Linked DNA regions of Tribolium castaneum. The protein of the gene in region 2 purifies or fractionates together with the protein of the main gene of each other region. This does not show direct contact. Links are inferred from orthologs where the notes say so. Each region holds a gene or a part of one and is shown on either strand. Other genes may lie near its edges. The genes, in order: eIF3g1, eIF5 and 14-3-3epsilon.

The links.
Region 1: the proteins of eIF5 (region 2) and eIF3g1 purify together in Homo sapiens (affinity purification with western blotting; 3 studies listed by BioGRID and IntAct, with this or other methods). This does not show direct contact. The link is inferred for Tribolium castaneum from reciprocal best matches to the Homo sapiens genes EIF5 and EIF3G.
Region 3: the proteins of eIF5 (region 2) and 14-3-3epsilon purify together in Homo sapiens (affinity purification with mass spectrometry; 3 studies listed by BioGRID and IntAct, with this or other methods). This does not show direct contact. The link is inferred for Tribolium castaneum from reciprocal best matches to the Homo sapiens genes EIF5 and YWHAE.

What each region holds. Positions count from the first base shown.
Region 1 is NC_087395.1:17,787,798-17,790,666, forward strand, and holds eIF3g1 (eukaryotic translation initiation factor 3 subunit G), read left to right. Parts: upstream 1-1,356; 5' UTR 1,357-1,473; coding exon 1,474-2,319; 3' UTR 2,320-2,368; downstream 2,369-2,869. UniProt on the Homo sapiens protein: RNA-binding component of the eukaryotic translation initiation factor 3 (eIF-3) complex, which is required for several steps in the initiation of protein synthesis.
Region 2 is NC_087402.1:3,658,255-3,662,383, reverse strand, and holds the start of eIF5 (eukaryotic translation initiation factor 5), read left to right. Parts: upstream 1-1,283; 5' UTR 1,284-1,401; intron 1,402-1,476; 5' UTR 1,477-1,602; intron 1,603-1,820; exon of another isoform or gene 1,821-2,013; intron 2,014-2,029; exon of another isoform or gene 2,030-2,259; intron 2,260-2,357; exon of another isoform or gene 2,358-2,432; intron 2,433-3,107; 5' UTR 3,108-3,380; coding exon 3,381-3,667; intron 3,668-3,721; coding exon 3,722-4,025; intron 4,026-4,077; coding exon 4,078-4,129. Other genes in the region: Klc (kinesin light chain), read right to left, coding at 158-186.
Region 3 is NC_087401.1:11,229,178-11,233,357, reverse strand, and holds the start of 14-3-3epsilon (14-3-3 protein epsilon), read left to right. Parts: upstream 1-1,348; 5' UTR 1,349-1,451; coding exon 1,452-1,515; intron 1,516-4,180. UniProt on the Homo sapiens protein: Adapter protein implicated in the regulation of a large spectrum of both general and specialized signaling pathways. Binds to a large number of partners, usually by recognition of a phosphoserine or phosphothreonine motif.

The DNA.
Region 1 (2,869 bases), on a different chromosome or scaffold from region 2:
TATTAATAATAAAATGCTAAAATGAGTTTTCTCATTTTATTTTATTTTATAAATTGTCCTAATTTATATACAGGTGTCTCAGTAATGTGAAAAAGTCCATTATTGGCTTAAATTTTAGAAAATTAATTTGACTCACCTAAAATTATTTTCAGGTATTATAGGGTATTTTTGAAATTAGCTAAAATGCAAACATATGTTTTTTTAAATAGAACACCCTATATTTTTTTGCACTTTTATATAATTTATAATAATTTTCAAAGAGGACTAGATTTTTTTTTGATTTTTTTTTCAGTTTTAAAAATTATTTTCAGAATTAGATAAAGCAGTGACCGCATTTTAAAAAACTTTCTCGCCTACAGCCCGAGTAAAAGAATGTATCCTGGAAATCAGTTTAAAAAATGTGCTGTAGAACACTGTGGAATGTGACCAAAATTCGACTCTTTTTAGCTCCCTTTATTATAGTTTGGAACACATTTCTTTGGCAACCCATTGAATACATCCTTTGGATATTATGTTTGATAAAAAATAAGTTTCATCCAGTAAGCAGATCGGTCCAGGACGACCTTAGCTGGGATCCTCTATTAGCAAAATCAAATTTTTTAAAATCACGTTGCTCAATTTTTACATATTTCTCTGAATGGACGAAAATTTAATTAGATCTAATTTAGCATTCCCTTTATACATAATCGTATTTTTATTGGATTTCAGAGACATTTCAAGTTATTTTAACTCAATTTCTCTTTTTTATCTAAGGCGGCGCAGAATGTTTCTTCTCTAGAAGGCTGTGAAAGATTTTTTCTAAAGCAACAGAATCGTAGCCGTAGCCTTCTAGAAGGATACCTAAATTTTCACAAATGTCTCAATTGGCGACAATACATTTATAAATAATAAGCTGCATTTCTGCACATCATCAGAAGCAACATGAACCAAAATATCAACTATTTTAATGTAGGTATACTTACGGCGTTACACAGTTGCGACAGAAAGTTTCACAAGCAAAAAAACTTTATTATAGCCAATAAACGGATGCAAATTTAACACTCCCGACACAAATTTAACTAATTTAAGAATGCAAAACATTAACTATTGGCAAAAGAACGCAAAACACAAGTCACACATTTTCTGTGTACAAAATCTAGTAGTTGATGGTTTTCAAAGCCACCTTTCCGAATAAGTTTCCCAATTTTAAAATTTCATTACAGAATCCTGTAATTATGTGTTTGTGGGTTTGTAACACGACAGCCCCGTTTGTCGGGGTTTATTTATTAATCGGTTTATTAAATAAATTTTAAAATACATGGCTTTATTAAATATCAACAAAATTAAATTGTATTGCAAAAAACAAAAATAAATAATTTGCAACGAAATTCCCCAAAGGTTGGCGAGTCTGTTGTTTGACAGTTTGAGGTTAACTTTTGTGAACGTGATTGTCGCACCATATTTTCCAAAAAAACGTTTCAAAATTAGCTAAAAATGCCTGTTGCCGAAGAGGTCAAGTCCAGCTGGGCTGACGAGGTGGAGTTGGAGGGCGGGTCGCTCCCGCCCCCGACCGAGGTGTACGAAAACGGCTTCAAGATCGTGACCGAATACGCGTACAACGAAGACGACAAAAAAATGAAAATCGTGCGGACCTACAAGATCGAGAAGCGCGTCGTTTCAAAATCGATCGCTTTCCGCAAGACTTGGAAGAAATTCGGCGAGTGTGCCAACGACAAGCCTGGCCCGAACCCGGCCACCACGATCGTCGCCGAGGACGTGTACATGCAGTACATCACGAGCAAGGAGGAGGACAACAAGCAGGAAGACGACGCTTTGGAGAAGCTGAAGGCTCTGGGCGACAAGAACGTGGTCAAGTGCCGCACCTGCAGCGGGGACCACTGGACCTCCAAGTGCCCCTGGAAGGACACCATGCTGGCCGGGGGCAAAGTGCCCGACGACAAGAAGGGCCCGGCGGTTCCGTCAGGGTCGGATGCGGGCAAGGCCGGGGGGTCCAAGTACATTCCGCCGAGTTTGCGAGATGGGGCCGTCAGGAAGTCCGATAATCTCAATATGGCGCGCAGAGACGACGCCACGGCGATTCGAATCACCAATCTTAGTGAATCTACCACTGAGACTGATTTGGAGGATCTGGTGAAGCCGTTTGGCCCGATCCAGAAGTTGTATTTGGCGAAAGACAAACAAGCCGGTTATTGCAAAGGATTCGCTTATATTCATTTCAAGTTTAAGAACGACGCTGCTAAAGCCATTTCTATGCTTAATGGACACGGTTATGATCATCTTATACTCACGGTGGATTGGTCTAAGCCACACCCTAATTGAAATGTATTTTATAAGTTTTATTTGTATTGAATAAAAATGCTTTAGCTAATGTTGCGTTTTTTCAAACCTACAATACAACAAAATACGTAGACATTTCAGTTTTAAATAATTCGAACAGAGGTGAAGATTGGTACAGGTCTTAGGTACACTATTAAAATAAAATATAGAAAATTCTCAAGTGTTGAAACTATCAGCTCTTAGCATTTTTCGCGTAAACGGTAGGTAAACATTACGGTAACTTCTCGGAAAAATAAAAAATCCCAAGCAATTGAGTTTTTTTAACTCGAGAGGTTTGTAAAGGCATACAATACCTGATAGAACTTTGCTAAAGCTAGTTAATTGTTTTGTTTTTTTTGAAAAGGTAAAAAATCTTAGACAATAGTTTAAGAAGTCTGCAAAATATTAACTATTGCTGGCTAATTTAGCAAATAAATAAGGTTGGTTTTTGGTTATAAACTAACCAATAAAAATAAAATAAAAGGTTAATAAACTAACTAAAAGATTTATTAACCAATCAAAGAACCTTCTGGTTATTTAATATTAATAAGTA
Region 2 (4,129 bases):
AAATAAACGACAACTTCAAGGAAGTGGCGGCGGAATTATGCCACAATTAGGTTAGAAATTTGTAGAAAAAACGCCGGATTTCAAGTAGCACAAACGAAAGGCAAGCAAGACCGCCACAAGAACACAAAAGCTTGAACTGAAAACAAAACCAACTTACATCCTATACGCGTTGATCGTTTTAGACATGTTTTTTCGAATGCGTCCTCTTAATTCCAATGAGCACCTCGTTCATCACCTCACGATCGTTTAAATTGAGCGTCTATACAAAAACCTTATTTATATTTTTGATTATTGTAAAAGTGCAAGGCGTTATCACAAGACGGAATATGAGACAATGCAAAAATATATTTTTGGTCAACGATCACCCCCGCAATCAATAATAAGGCCCCCTAGAACATCACGCCGCCTTCCCTTTCCACCCCATAGCTCGAAAAAGGGTGTGCCACTTTCGGTAAAAACGCGAAAACTGACGTCGGTGCATCAAACGTACTGCGTCGCGACGCCGCGCCTGCGCCCCATAGCCCGACGAACCCCATCAGAAATTTGCACCCCTTTCGATCGGAAACCAATACACGTGTGACGGCGGGGGCGTACACTCCGAGCCGTGACTCACGCCCGATTTTTACAGGGGCGCTTCCTCGTTACTTTGCCAAGCGTGACGATTGAAAAATACTTACGTGTTGCTATCATCCATGCCACGGGAATGCACTGCTCACCTGCTATGGCAATCAGTAGACCATAGCGTAACCTGCGACATAAATAAATCACAAAAATTGACCAACGGAAGGAAGGACACCGACACTTGAACTGTGCCCCCAAACGATCGGGGGGACGCTTACTCACCTTTATTTGGCAGCCAAGCGTTAAAACACTCAAATTGGGCTATTTTTGACACTGCAATCACTTTCTTCTGACATTAATGGCTGCGCTTTTGATAACTCTCTTCTCATTCCTTTTTCTCTCAGTGTTAGAAGAGTGACAGATGATTGCCAAATCAGGGGCGCCACCTACCGGGTGCCACTAAGCCGGGTTAAAGTAACACAAATCAGGGTTCTGGCTTGCAAAACACACCCCAGTAATTAATTAAACACTTTGCCGAAACGACTGTGGACAAATTTAGAGGGCAAAGCCCGTTTTAGCCGATTTTTTCGTGTCAATTTAGGGATTTAAGTTTTGTCCGGTTGCGGGTGCGCACCTGTGAGTTCGTCGAAAAGTCAGGCGACTATCTGCATATGGCGATTCAGTAAAGTAGCAGCAATTTAGCTGTGTTGTTGGTTTTTCCCCCAATTGTGCCTTCAAACTGGCATTTTAATTAGTTTAGTACTTTGTCTGACGTGTCGTCTAATTGTTTGAGCGTTAATTCGGTCATAGATGGTCCGTGGAAGGTGCTACAAATAAAAGGTGAGATCACGTTACATGCATACTTTTTGCTTATTTTTTCTGCCTAAAAATAAATCAAACTCGGTGTTTTTGCAGCAAACTCCAGCCGGACACTTTCCTTGATCGACCCTTGAACGGACCTTTTTCTTTAGTTTTTGCTTCTGTGGGAGTCATCGTCCAGAAGGGCGCTACCATTTTATATGACTTTAGTAAGCCACAAAGGTAGGTGATAGCGTTATCAGTTCGATTTTTGCAGTAAAAGCATGACGTAACATCCAATTTCCATAAACAATCGAGCACGCTTTTTATTTTTTTTTGTACGAAGGCAGCGCTGGTGTCACGTGACTGCGCGGTCTGTTCAAATAAACCAGTGGAGGCGTGTTTGCGGGGTTTGTAATTTTCCGGGCGAGCAGTGGCGTGCGCTATAAAAATAATCGTGTCGCATTGTGGTGATCGATATGGCCGTGGCATTGCGCCGGTTCGACGACATCGATTCGCGCCGCGACGCTTACGTGGCCTCAGTCTCGGTGCGCGCCCTGAAAAACCTCAACATAACTGCTCTCCAAGCCACGACCGAGGGGCAAACGGCCTCCCCCATGCCCATGCTGTCGCCTTTCCACGATGGTGAGACCCGTAAGTTAAGTAGGCAATGATGGTCTGGCACATGTCAAAAAATTTTCGTCAAATGTAGTTCCGTTCGAAATTTTTCATCGTCTCGATGTACCACCGACCTATTATGGTACTTAATTATCACGAAACGGACGGTTTTGTCGCATTTTCAATGGTCACGCAACCAGTTTATTACCGCAAGTTGTGATTACAAACAGACCATATGGTAACCGGAAAACAGGCAGATTCGATGCGAATTTTGCGTTAAAGGTAAGATGGGGGCCTTTCCGGAGCCGGGGCTCCGGGATAGGGATGCGCCGGCGCGTGACGTCACCACGTCTCTCGATTTATTTCCTTGTTAACTGTTTTTAAAGTGACCCAGTGTCATTTAGAAAAAAATTCATGAATTTGCTGACGGGTTCGCTGCCGCTCTGCCCCATAATGTGAGTTTTATTACACAATTTGTGCCGTTTTATTCACTCGAAAGCACGCTAACGCCGGTTAGATAACAACATTTGCATAAAACGATTAAGTTGCGCACGAAATTAGGTACAAAAATTCAAGCCGATTGTCAAATTTCTCGTACGTATGCTGATTTTACCCTTAATGCAGTTGGAAAACAGAATATTGCAGATTTACTAAGTACGTTTTTTTTGCTTTTATGCACTTACGGGGAACTAAAACTAGAAGGCGAAACGAGACAAAAAATTTAGTGCGGTGGAAAAAATTCTTCAAAACGCTGAGAATAAAAAAGTGTAAAGAAACAGTTGTACGGGATTAAGGCCGTGTCGCTATCTTTAACGGTGTCGGATCTAAAAATGTTTTTTTAGGGCCATTTTATTCTGAGTTACAACTTTATAGCTAAAATTAAATAGAAATATTTTAAAAGCAAAAAGATAACGCTGTTAATATTTACCATTTACAATGATTTTACGTTTTTTAATGGAATTTTTTATGTATCTTTGAAATTTATGGCTTAAAATTCAGCACGGCATGGCCGATTAATTTAGCAATTTCGGTTTATTTTATATCATTAAGCGTAAAACAAGATTGATAACGAAGTTGCTTATTCTGAATCTCGTTGCATGAGTGAAATTAACACGAATTGTTTCTTCCAGAGACATTATTAACCAAAAGCATAGTTGGGAGTTTAGGGCCCGAGCCAGCGAGGTGTATGACTTCGCAGCGACGTGAGCCCACCTGTTATAGGACGACAAAATTTTCATCGACAAATAGGCATCGGAAACTCCAGCCCTTCAGAGAAACGTGACTGACGTCCGAATTGCGAAAAACAGCAGCAAAAATTCTTTCACCACCAGTAATCAAAATAATAAAATCACCGCAACCATTGACATTAAAATCGTCGTTGGTACGCCACTGGCACCACAACCATGGGCAGCGTCAACGTCAATCGCAGCGTCAGCGATGTCTTTTATCGCTACAAGATGCCCCGGCTGATGGCCAAAGTGGAGGGCAAAGGTAACGGCATCAAAACGGTCATTGTTAATATGGCCGAAGTGGCCAAGGCCCTAGGCCGACCCCCCACCTATCCGACGAAGTACTTTGGCTGCGAGTTGGGCGCTCAGACTCAATTCGATTTCAAAAACGAAAGATTTATCGTCAATGGATCGCACGATGCGGGCAAACTACAAGACCTACTCGATGGCTTCATCCGGAAGTAAGTAAACCAAACTCGAAAAAATATCTTTAATTCAAAAAATAAAAAAAATAGATTCGTTTTGTGTCCCGAATGTGAGAACCCTGAAACCGAGCTGCTTGTCTCCACCAAACGCAGCACCATTTCTCAAGGTTGCAAGGCATGTGGCTACCACGGCCCGCTAGAATCCAACCATAAATTGGTCACTTTTATTTTGAAAAATCCGCCAAATTTAAATCCTGCCGTTCAGGGCTCGTCATTGACTGAAGGTAAGAGATCAAAGAGGAGCAAACGCGCCAACGGAGACACCAATGGAGACACCAGTCAAGTCGACGATCAAAACGAAAGCTTGGAGGCATCAGTTAATGAAAATTCCAAGGTAAGTGACGCGGACCGCAGACTAAACAGTTTGAAATTGAAACGTTTGGCAGAACGGCGATGATGACGACGCACACGAATGGCAAGCTGACGTGTCGGAAGAAG
Region 3 (4,180 bases), on a different chromosome or scaffold from region 2:
TTTTTACAGAGAATTTAATAATGTTATCAGCGATTTTTTTAACATTCGTTTAGCTGTAATAACAGTTTTATTTTTTAAATTGGAATCATAGGAGGCTGTGATATTTTTGAAGTTTATTTTTTCTGATTTGATATGTCTATTTGTGTAACACATTATTTTTACATATTAAAAAATAACAAGATTTCGCTTTTTCTTTACAGTAATGTCGGAAAAAAAATCTTATTAATTGTATGATTGCCTGTCAATATATAATATAATAAATTTTATTTATTTATTATTATTTTATTTTACAAAAAAATCTCAATCCAAACACCAAAATTAAATCTCATCTGCGGTAAAAAAATACTACATTGCACTTCACTAAGTCATCAAATGGTAGTGACACATTGTTTTCAATTTTTTTGCTTTTTTATGTATTAAATTCTGCAACGATCGTATTATTTGTTCAATTGGAAATAACTTAAACATAGATTATTTTCATAATTTCACATTTTTTTACTTTAATAACCGTTCACAAAATTTCTAGATTATTCACACCTTTTATGTGAAATAATTTTTCCATGGCCAACTGCTTTCAAATATTTTAAATATATTTTTTATCAAAAATATATAAAAATATCAAACTGTATTTATATTATTTTCAGTTTAAAAAAAAATAAGCTTTTCGAAAATGTCATAGCCAACTATGATTTCTATTTAAAGAAATACAACTTTATGTTATTACAGCTAAACGATTTATTAAAAAAATTCACTGATACCATAATTAAATTCTCTATAAAAAAAAGCCATATAACGTCTTTGTTTCAAATGTCTATATTTTATAATAAGGAAGATATAAATTTTTTAACATTTGGCCAAAATATCAACTTTTGTTTATAAGTCGAAAACAAAAAACTATAGCGAGATGCGGTTTTGACCAAAATTATTTTCTCAAAAAGCGGACCGGAAAATGTGTCTTGTTTTTCTCTAAACCTTTTAGTTTCGGAAATCCCCTATTTGTGCATAAATTTTTTATCTGTATTTTTAAGTGGCCTAAATTGTTATTTTTGCTCTACTTCTGTATAAACACACTCAGTTAACACCAAAGTAGCCGTAAAGCGTCTTCTAATCAGTGATTAAAATTTAAACTGGCATTAGTTCGTAAATCTGAGCATCTGATTGGTCCAATTCCCCTGATCTGGAAACGACGCTTCTAAAAACAGTCCCTTATTGTCAATCGAATGCTGTCCATTAGGACGCATAATTTAATTATTGTGGCATGCAGTGTGTGAAAGATAAGCAGGATTAAATAATTATTTATTCAATTTGGCGCCATTGTGACGTGGGCCGGAGGCAGCCGATGTGCGTCCGATCGCGTTCGGGTTTAGTGTGGCGGGCGCGGCCATATTGGCAGTACGTTGAGTGTCTGTGTTTTTTAGTGTTGTGAAATTTCTATCGATAATCATCGCAAAATGTCTGAACGGGAGGATAACGTCTACAAGGCGAAATTGGCAGAACAGGCCGAACGTTACGATGGTGCGTATATTTCCCCCCGATTCGGCCTCCTCCCGGCCCAAACGGCCATCATCTCGGGACGCTCCTCCATTTTCCGCCGCGGGGGTGCCCCGCGCCCGGGCGGCGGCGGGGCTGCGCCCCCGTGTGCATTCCGCGCGGGTGACTCATCGATCGGCGCCCGGCCCCGCAGCCCCCGCCGGAAAAAAGCCAAATGTCAGAATTTTCGCGACACCGGCCCACTGCCTATTGCGTAACTTCCGGTTTTGCACGTGCGTCACGTGATGGGGGTGGCGGATTCTGCCCCCGACCTTGTCCCATTTGCGGCGGAATTTTACGCTGCATTTTTAAAACGGGATTGATTTTTGAGGGCGGCCTGCACAGGGGTCGGGGGTGGCAGCGCGACGGCGGCGGCGAATGCCAATCGATAATCGCAGAGAAGAATGAGGATTTACCGAAATTACCAACAAAAGATGCACGTCGGGGGCGGGTAACTTGACTGCGAAATTTAGGGGGTTTGGGGGGTAAACATTTTATTGAATTATTTGTTCGCTCACGAAACGGCGAGACGTAAAAACGGGAGAGTTCTTGCCTAAATTTTTCATCGCGTCAATTTTTAATACAAACGGTGAATTTTTTACGTTTTACGTTACACAGTTGGCATTTAAAAATCACTAATAAGTACAGTCAGAAGGAGTGAAATTGTCGATACAATGGCCTACTTGTTTTAAAATTTAAATGCAACTAAAGTTATTCAATTTTTAATTTTACAAAATAGAAAGTAAACAAAGTCGATGGTGTTATCACAAACAAACACAAACTGTTGACAGTTTCGTATGTCGTCAAGTCCTTGAACTTAAATTATTGCAACGACGAAATTAGTTTTTTTACTTTGTCAACAGTTAACAAAAAATGCGTCAAAAATGTCACCGGCTTTTACATTCAACATTTGTGAAATATTAATTAAGCCGGAAATGTACCAACATTGCGTTTGGCTGGTGATTCATCCACCTCACCATTTTTGTCGAAGTTGATAGATATCGAAAAAATGTGACAAGTTGCCATGTTTGGACAATTTTATTGCATTTGATTGTACATTGTTTTATAACAGGTTGGATTAGTTTGGACAGTTTTATAGATGTAATTTAATTCCCGGTAATTCACCGAGAAACGATAATTCATTTTTATCAACTGATCGATTCTCTTATCAATAAGGGAAGACTGAGTTGAATGTCCTGTTTAAATTTCAAGTTTGTGTTATGCTCGATGAGTAATCAAATAACGTGATGTAAATGATGAGAAAGTACAAAACGCATTTTAATGAACAAATGTGTTACGAAAGCGAAAAATTCTATTGAAAATTGAAACACCGATTAATAAACGCCTTTGCTCACTGGAAACCAGCCTTCGTTTTTTGAGAAAATAATTTTAAATCTCAACAGAAGTTGACATTTTAGCGAAATCTTAAAAAAATCATATCTTCCTTATTATAAAAGATACACATTTGAAAAAAATACATTATACAGGCACTTTTTTTCAGAGAATCTAATAATGTTATCAGCGATTTTTTTCAACCATTCGTTTAACTGTAATAACATAAAGTTATATTTTTTTTAAATAGGAATCATAGTTGGCAATGACATTTTCGAAAAGCTTATTTTTTTCTGATTTAATGTCTATTTGTGTCATACGTTAAATTTAAATAATTAAGAAAAAACAAAACATTTCGCTTTTTCTTTATAGTTGGCCATGAAAAAATTTTGGATTTGTAATTAAAACTATGAAAATTGTATTACCTAACAGTAATTATAATTTGATGATTTTTTAAACCCTAATTAATTCAAAAACAGCATAATAAATTTTTATTAGATCAAATTTTTGCAATTAATAAAAATTATTTGTTTTTATATAAAATGGCAAGCTTACGTTGTATTTCTACATATTTTCAAATTTTAAACATGCAATGACGGAAGAAGAAAAATCTTATGATTGCGCATCAATAAAATTTTATTTTACAAAAAAATGACAATTCAAACTCCAAAATCAAATTCCACCTGCAGTAAAAAAATATACAACATTATCAATGTCACCTCCATTGCACTTTACTAAATCATAAAAAAGTGACATCAAATGGTAGTGACATATCGTTTGCTATTTTCTGTACATTTTTTATGTAATTAAAATCTGCGACGCTCGTATATTTATTCAATTGAAAATAACTTTAACATAGCTTATTTTGATAATTTCACATTTTTTACTTTAAAAACCGTTCACAAACTTTCTAGATTATTCACACCTTTTATGTGAAATAATTTTTCCATGGCCAACTACTTTAAAAAATTTAAATTTTTTTTATCAAAAATATATAAAAATATCTCACTATATTTATGTTGTTTTGAGTTCAGAAAACAATAAGACAAATAGACATATCAAATCAGAAAAAAATAAGCTTTTCAAAAATGTCATAGTCAACTATGATTCTCATTTAAAAAAAATACAACTTTATGTTATTACAGCTAAACGAATGATTAAAAAAAATTGCTGATAACATTATTAAATTCTTTGGCAAAAAGTGCCTGTATAATGTCTTTGTTTTAAATGTGTATCTTTTATAATAAGGAAGATGTTTTTTTTTTAAGATTTCACTAAAATGTCAACTTTTGTTTATAAGTCGAAAACAAAAGACGAT